Linked DNA regions of Canis lupus familiaris. The protein of the gene in region 1 purifies or fractionates together with the protein of each later gene. This does not show direct contact. Links are inferred from orthologs where the notes say so. Each region holds a gene or a part of one and is shown on either strand. Other genes may lie near its edges.

Region 1 (4,334 bases):
TTCCCAGTCGATGGAGCACCAGGCCAGCCGACGTGGTAGCCTTGGAGCCCTGGGAGGAGTGCCACCCAGGAAGAGCTTCCCTGCTTTACTTGGGAGCTCAGAAGGGCTGCTGCAGGGCCGCGAGTCCACCGAGGGAGAAAACTCACTGGGGAGGTAACTGTGCCGGGAAAGAGGTGAGGGCATGGCACCTTCAAAGTGGACCCCAAAGTGGCTCAGGTAAACCAAAAGAAGAGGGTCCCACGAGTTTGGAAGCATCTCTGACTCCTCCTTTGCTCCGCCCAGCGCTTTTCTCCTCTTCCTTCATTTTCCCCAAATGAGCCGTGTCTGTGCTGTTACTCACAAGGGTTTTTATCAGATGAGCGGAAGCAGTCTGAATGAAGTACAATCCTCCTTTTTAGATGAAAATATTTCCCTTCAACACTTAAAGTGACTTTTTATAAAAATAAGCTCTCCACCCAGAAGAGTTCGCCAGATAAACAGCAGTGAGCTGCCTGTGGACTCACCCCCTTTTTCCATTATTTATTATTTAATTATAAAAAAAAACAGCTTTTTTTTTAAGTGTCATCCACTGAACATGATCAGTGTTCAGACTAAAGAGACTATATAGTGCAATGAAATTATTTCACATTTTGCAGGCTATAATGATTGTCAGTGTTATTCTCCAGCTGCATTAAATCACTTCCAGCAGTTATTGGCAGAAATATTTGAAATACGAACAGCTGACATTTGTTTAGCCGATTATGGGGATAATTAGGTGCAACATTCATATATGGATAAAAAATTGTAACCTTAAAGTAATTGATCCAAATACAATCACTAATACAGGTCAAAACATACACCTCCTAAGGTCATCAGGGGAAAGGAAAATTCTCTGACACTCCATTCAGCTCATATAGCAAATTAGCAAGATTTCTTAGCAACATATCGACTTCCTAACAGTCCTGTTCCATGGCAGTTTGGCCCACCCAGTAAGCTCACTTGCAAGAGAGATCTTAGACTTCATGGCAAATGAGTTACAGAAGTTTTGAAACAGAGTTGGGGGAGAAAAAAAATTCAGATTCAGAGCCATAATCAGAGCTTCAAAGAATAACAAATATGAGAGAATCCTAGAAGAGGAAAAATCCGAATAAAAATGGCACAGAATCACCACTGCCTATATATAATGTGGAAACCCAGATGTTAAAAATAAATGAGTCTTGCTACTCAACCATAAGTTCTTTCTTTCTAGTTTTTATAACTCCCCACCTCCCACTAATTTGCATTCCATATTTGAGGAAAAGACCAATAATACTAACCTGTTGATTAAAAAACATAGGAAGGTGTTAGGATCCATATTTTTAAAAAATTGGTAAAATTCTGTTTTAACTTATTGTACTTAGCATATAGGTGATGTTTAACCACCTTCATTTTTATAAAAGAGGTCTGTTTCTGAGATATATTGATTCTGAGAAGATATGTGAATAAACACAAGCCATTTACATAAACCATTTGAAGTCTGTTGGGCCCTAGGGTAGGATTTCTAGTCTATACTACCCATCTGCCTTAGATATTGTGTGTAATATTTAATCTGTTTGAGCCTTGGTTTTTTTTTTTTTCAGTTAAGAAATTAGGATAATAATAAACTTTTTAATTTTGGAATAAAAGTTCGGGAGCCCTGTACAAATAAAGAAAGTCTAAAAATGTATATTATAAAATATATTAGTAGAAAGGCAGTTGAATCAAAACCAAAATATAAAAGAATGACAGTGAAGAGAGTAAAATAAGAAAGTAATAAAATTATATTCTACAGTAAGTCTATTACAAAATTTATTTAATAGTCATCACATAGTTGGCATTATAATTTAGGTCTCCGAAACTTTTATGGTATTAGGAATGCTATATTGATCAAAAGAGTGTCATAACCTTCTTTGCAAAATGATGTGACTTGTTATATAATCTTTATGTTTAAGCTAAGAGCATAGGTAATTCATTTTACAAAGGTTGATTTTATTACTTATATAAGATACAAGGTATTAATGAAAATGTGGCACTCTACATTCACAAGCCCCAAGTTCATTATATCTAGCATCTGCCAATCTGCTCAAGAGTATTTCGTTGAATATCCATTTTAAAACAGCCTCTGGGGCCAGATTGCCTGGGTTTCTTACTATCCTTCAGTTTCCTTATCTGTAAGACGAGGAAAATCTGCCTGAGGACTGCTGTCAGTATTCACAGCAAATACTTAGATCAGGACATGATAAGTAATTCCTAATTGCTAATTATCATTTATGAAACTCATAAAGTGTATATGGGCTTATGCTGTAAGAAACAGATTTGTTAAGACGGTGTCAAAGCGTACCCTGCTGGGCGGCCCCGGTGGCGCAGCGGTTTAGCGCCGCCTGCAGCCCGGGGTGTGATCCTGGAGACCCGGGATCGAGTCCCGCGTCAGGCTTGTTGCGTGGAGCCTGCTTCTCCTTCTGCCTGTGTCTCTGCCCCTCTCTCTGTTTCTATGAATAAATAAATAAAAATTCTTAAAAAAAATAAAAAAGCGTACCCTGCTAGGGCTGAAGTGACTCATTACTTAAGCTAAACCGAAGTCTGACTGGTCTTCTAACTTAAATTTTATTTGAGGTTAGATATGTTAAGAGTATATTGCCTTATTGTTATATACTAGGAATGCAGAGGGTCAACATTTATCTGATCAAATGCAGTCATCTCGTCATAGCAAATAAAGGCAAAGAATATTCGTTAATGACAGGGTAGGCACTGTCTCCTAGAAGTGCAAATGAACCAGACTGGGGGCACCCGGTGAGGAGCAGAAGGCTCTCCGGTTCTTAAAGGCTTTCCGTTTTCTGCTCCGCCTGGCAGCACGCCTGTGGGGAGCTGCGTGGGTTTCAGGCAAGGCTCGGCGTACGCATCCGCAGCTGTGGCGGCGGCGGGGCGGCGGCGGCGGCGGCGGCGGACAGCGGCGGGGCGGCGGCGGGGCAGCGCGCTGAACTCCGCTTCAGCGGCAGACGGGGAGGAGCGCGGCTCGCGGGAGACAACCTCGCGGCTCGCGCAGGGTCTTCCTCGGCTCCGGGGCTCGGGAGGGCGCCGTCCCGCGCGGCCGTGCGCAGGCGGCGGGCACGAGGACGCCGTGGGCGAGCTGCCCGAGGCCTCCCGGCCCTGGGGTCGGCGCGCAGCCTCCCGGGCGCGGGGAAGCACGTGGCCGGCCGTCCCGCCGAGGCGGCCTGTGCCCGGGCTCACTGCGCCCCGCTGCGGCGTGCCCGTGCCCCCTGCGCGCACAGAAGTGCATCTTCGTGCGCTCAGCATCATCACGTAGCCTTCCGGGAGACATCTTTAAGAGGCCGTGCAACTCCAGCCCGCACGGCGCGCCCTCGCCCGCTGACGCCCACGTCGAGCCCTCGGGCCGCGTCTGCGCGTGCGCGCCTCGGGACCCGCCGCCCGGGATCTCCGGTTACAGCCCGACCCCAGAAAGTCCGAAGGCCAAGGAGGGGGCGCCCTGCAGTCCTCGAAGGCTCGAAGGGTTGTACTGCTGCTGTTTGCAAGCATCAGTCGAAGTCGAAAATAAACTTTTGCCTTTTTTTTTTTTTTTTTTTGGAGCTAAAATAATAAGTGAAGACGTGCTTTGCTAAAAATAAAAACTATAAAGTTGAAAAACTTTAAATTTTTTTTTACTTAAGTGGAATTATATTATTAATTAATATTATGAAGTTTGAATTTTATGGTCAGCAAGAATTATGTATGTTCCCATGTCCGTACAGAAGCCTGGAGAGCTACTTTGGTTTTTCTAAAATAATATGCCCAGGGGCAGATCCAGGTTTTGTGGGGGCTTAAAGCTTATACAAACAGAAGGAACCCTTTGAAGGCGTAGGAAGGAGAACCAGACTAGCACTGAGCCTGAGGCGGGGCGCCATCCCCCGACCCTGGGATCATGACCTGAGCCCAAGGCATAGCTTAACCTATTCAGCCACCCAGGCAGCCTTAATTTTACTTTATGTATATTTCCATTCATATACATGACTTTGGCCAATAGTAGTATTTATCAGCTCGTATGTTTTTTGTTAATAAAATTGCTTTCTTGAAACAGATAGGGGTTGATTATGATACAGCCTCTTATAATTTGGGTCAGTGGCAAAAGTTCATTGGCTTTATTTAATATATGCTAAGCTGTCACTAAGTTCTCCCTAATCTATCCTGAATATTAAATACTTAATAAGTTTACTGAATTAAACAATGAATGTGACGAATCTCAAGCTTTTTTTTTAATAGTAGGTTGAATATTGTACATAGTCATATCTTAATTTAGAATCACCAATCTAAACAAATTATTGAATCATACATTTTAAATTAGA
Region 2 (3,650 bases), on another chromosome or scaffold:
TTCATTTCCCAAATTGAACCTACCTTACAATTAGCTAAAATAGTGGAATACTCACTGGCTGACGAGAAAAAAAAAATCTTGTTTTTCTGATTTGGTTCATCTGAACAAAGATGCATCTTTCTACCACTTTTAGCCCAATGCTGATTTCAAGCTGTGCCTCTGAGCAGGGAGGACAATAGTGTCTGCAGCCAATTTTCTGAGGTTGTAGTTCTTCAACTTGGCCCCCACCCTAGTTTTCCAACCAAAACAACTTTTTCTGAAGACTATTTAAGCAAAACCCAAGAATAAGGGGAAATCATGTTTGGTTGTTTATTTAAGGAACACAAAAAAGTGCATCTGAATGTTTTTCTTTTTTTAAAAAACAAGTTTTCAATTCATCATATATGCTGCCTCAGCACTCCAAATGCAGTCTGAAAGATGGTTCAAAGACATCCACTGGTTTCTAGACAAATTAAGATTACTGAATTTGATACAAGAACATATGAAGTTTCTTCTTCTTGAGTGGTGATGGGCACCTCACCCTCATTTTCTCAGAACTACCTGCATACCCCCTGTCCTCCCTTCTGTGCACACTCTTGCCCATTCCCCGCTGGTGACCCATAACACACATTTGGGAGACAATTGGCTAGGATAATCTAAGTTTTAGAACCTGTTTTTTTTGTTTGCTACCTGCAAAAAGCTAACTGGCCTTAGGATCAAATCTCACTGGAGTCATGCTCTAGTCAAAAGAGCTACAAATACTAAACAGTCAAGCAACAAAGCAAAATCAACTTCTGCTTTTCATATTTCCTAGGCGAGATTGGGGCTTTTAAAAGAAATCTCATGAATAAAGACAAAAGTGAGAATTAAAAGCATTCTAGTTGTCAAAGAAGAAACTCACAATTTAATTCCACTTGTTCCATGGAGGAAAAAAATGGTATAAATGGAAATTATTTTATTTTTAGGTTTTGATGTGGGTCCTAACCTAACAAGTGTTTTGCTAAAACCACCATAAAAGTTAAAACTAGTAACTGCCAGTGTTCTTTAGGATTTTACAAAGTGAGATGTTCCAGGTTGGAGCTACTGTTTCCTTTGATTGCAAACGCATTCCCACAAGTGCTTCTCAGGCCATGTTCAATCTCGCTTACCCGTAAGGACCAAGATTCCACTACATGTACGTACTCTGATTTGCCCTGATTCAATGCCCCAGGATTGGAGCTTTTAGGCTAGATGTGCCTGCACAGGAAGCAGTTTTCAATTCTTTTTCACGACTTACACCAGAACAAAGAAGCCATAAGAAAGTTGCTGCGTGCCAAACCTGCGAGGAAAACCCTTAACGTACAAGAGCAACTACTTATTTTTCCACCTCTGCAGATTTTGTTTTTAAAAATCAAGCTACTTCGTAGTAAAAAGTCAAAAATTTTTTGTATGATAGAGGAGTGTAAATAAAGTTCCATAAACCAGTATACATGTTTATGAGCCAGTAATTTTAAAAAGACAAAAAAAAAAAAAAAAGCTGCATGAATCCTAAGTGGATATATAAATAAATCCACTCCAGGTCAGAGATATTCTAAGAACAAGTCTTAAATTCTTAATATAGCAAGGTTTAGAATGAAAATCAGAAACTGAATGGCAGCAATGCTAGCAGGCAGTACGGTACTCCACATTACTTCCTACAAGAGACAGAGGAGGGGAAAATGCACAATTCTGATTACTCTTTTCACATTTCAGCATCTCAGAACTTCAAGGAAAGCAGGGAAAGCTAATCTAGAAACTCCCTCTGCTCATTATCATTGCTGAAGAATGTTTTGGGAATGACAGATTCCCTCCTCCAGGGCCAGGCTGGGTGCCAGAGAGCCCCACTCTCCCAAGCAGACTGGCTTAGTGAGGAAGTTTGACTAAAGTCAGCAAGCAAGTGGCCTCTGAGGTTCTGGCTTCAGAGTCTGGCACTGTGGAGAACCAGTGTGTGAGGGGATTCCAGACCCCTCTCCCTATGGGTTGTGTTGGTTACGAATGCTAGCACTTCAGTCATTTAAAAACCAAGACCTCCTCCTCTCTCCCACCCAACTGCAGGAAAGGAGAAAATCATTAAGCATTTATTTTTAGGTTTCTGCAGTGCTATTAAAAGTTCAATCAGATGTAAAACCTAACAGACAGCCCAAATTGTTAGGATTATCTCAAGGGACCCTGAATTAGATATTGAAAGTTGACACAAACTGAAATGAGCTGGACTTAGCTGGTGGTTCGATCTCACCACATCAATAGTCACTTCTGCTTCGTTCCACCGGGAGTGGTCCCATGCCACCCTCTCAAGGAGCACGCTGGGCAGCAGCAGGGTGGCTGTTTTCTGGGAAGCTACTGGTTTTGCCATTTGCTTCCAGATTCGCACAGACTATAACAAACTTTACATGAAACACTGTTGAGTCCTGAGTTGGGTGACAGCCCATGGAGGAAGGGGCCGAGTTCATTAGGGCTCTTCCCTCCTTTGCGTGGTGTCATACATGGCCTCCGGCTTTTTCTTCTGTTGCTTGACTTTCTGCTTCTTTTTCATTGGTGACCCCTTCTAAAGTCTTCTTGCCCATGGCTTTACTGGCCTCTTCCTGAGGAAGAAATAAGATATCAAGAGGGTTAGAGAAAAAACTGAAACATTCAGGTAATTCCTGGCTCCTCCTGACTGCTTATCAGGTCTCAAACAGGAGGGCATTACAGTGGCTTTCCTGGGGCTGCCTGGTTGGGTAAGTCAGAGCAGTGCTGACAACAGTGCATAGTGGACAGCTTTCACTTTTCTTCGGTGGGAAGGACTAGCTTGCCACAGGGAGTGTTGTGACAAGAGGACTGGGGAGTGGAGGATGAACTCAGGACCTGAACACAACCTTGCTGTAGGGGAGGTGATGAAGTAAAAGGGCATTGACGGTGGGCCTTCCCTATCATGGCCCACTGCCCGGGAAAATGGAAGTCTCAACAAATATCTGAAAAGTATCTAAAAAAATACTTGATGTGTCTGATTTTTAAAAACTAGCAAGTTTTCCTAGTCTCTAGGGAACTTATTTTTCTCATCCCTTTCACAGACATGCAGTGCCTCATAACTCTGCACGTCTGGTGAGTAGAACAGCCCATTCTTCTTCTGGATCCAAACTAGCCTCAGATCAGATCATAAATCGTCTTCCCCGTTCTTGTGCCTCTTAGGTTGTCTATCTGACCCTGTGCCCTATGCTTAATCTTGTTGTAACAAAAACCAAAGGGGCAAGATCAGTTTTTGATGTACCTGAAGGGAAAGGCAGTTCTGCACATACCTTTGCATCCTGTTCTGCAAACTTCTTAAACATGTTGGCATATATCCTGCGGTCTCGCTCATTGTGCTCCTTAGCCTTTTTTTGGCACATGGAGATCTGCAGTCGTGCAGCCTTATTCTGGGGATTCACTTCCAGGACTTTCTCAAAGTCGCCCTTGGCCGACTCAAACTCGTTCATGAGCAGCTGGGCTTCACCCCTCCTGTACAAGCCCTTCTCGTTGGCACTGTCTAGTCCAAGCGCCTAGGGACAGATGGTCTACATTTTAGAAAGCATGAATGTAACTTTTGTTACATGTGGACATGTTTGTGGACCTTTCAAAGAAATTCAGTATTTAAATAACTTCCCAAACTTTTCTGGCCAAGGGGACTGGAAAAAGTT

Evidence for each region. Proteins that work in one complex are often made in the same cells at the same time.
Region 2: the proteins of MOS (region 1) and FKBP5 purify together in Homo sapiens (affinity purification with mass spectrometry; 3 studies listed by BioGRID and IntAct, counting the BioPlex papers as one, with this or other methods). This does not show direct contact. The link is inferred for Canis lupus familiaris from reciprocal best matches to the Homo sapiens genes MOS and FKBP5.

What each region holds. Positions count from the first base shown.
Region 1 is NC_049250.1:8,009,467-8,013,800, forward strand, and holds the start of MOS (proto-oncogene serine/threonine-protein kinase mos), read right to left. Parts: upstream 2,889-4,334; 5' UTR 256-2,888; coding exon 1-255.
Region 2 is NC_049233.1:4,902,877-4,906,526, forward strand, and holds part of FKBP5 (peptidyl-prolyl cis-trans isomerase FKBP5), read right to left. Parts: intron 3,513-3,650; coding exon 3,273-3,512; intron 2,580-3,272; coding exon 2,475-2,579; 3' UTR 1-2,474. UniProt on the Homo sapiens protein: Immunophilin protein with PPIase and co-chaperone activities. Component of unligated steroid receptors heterocomplexes through interaction with heat-shock protein 90 (HSP90).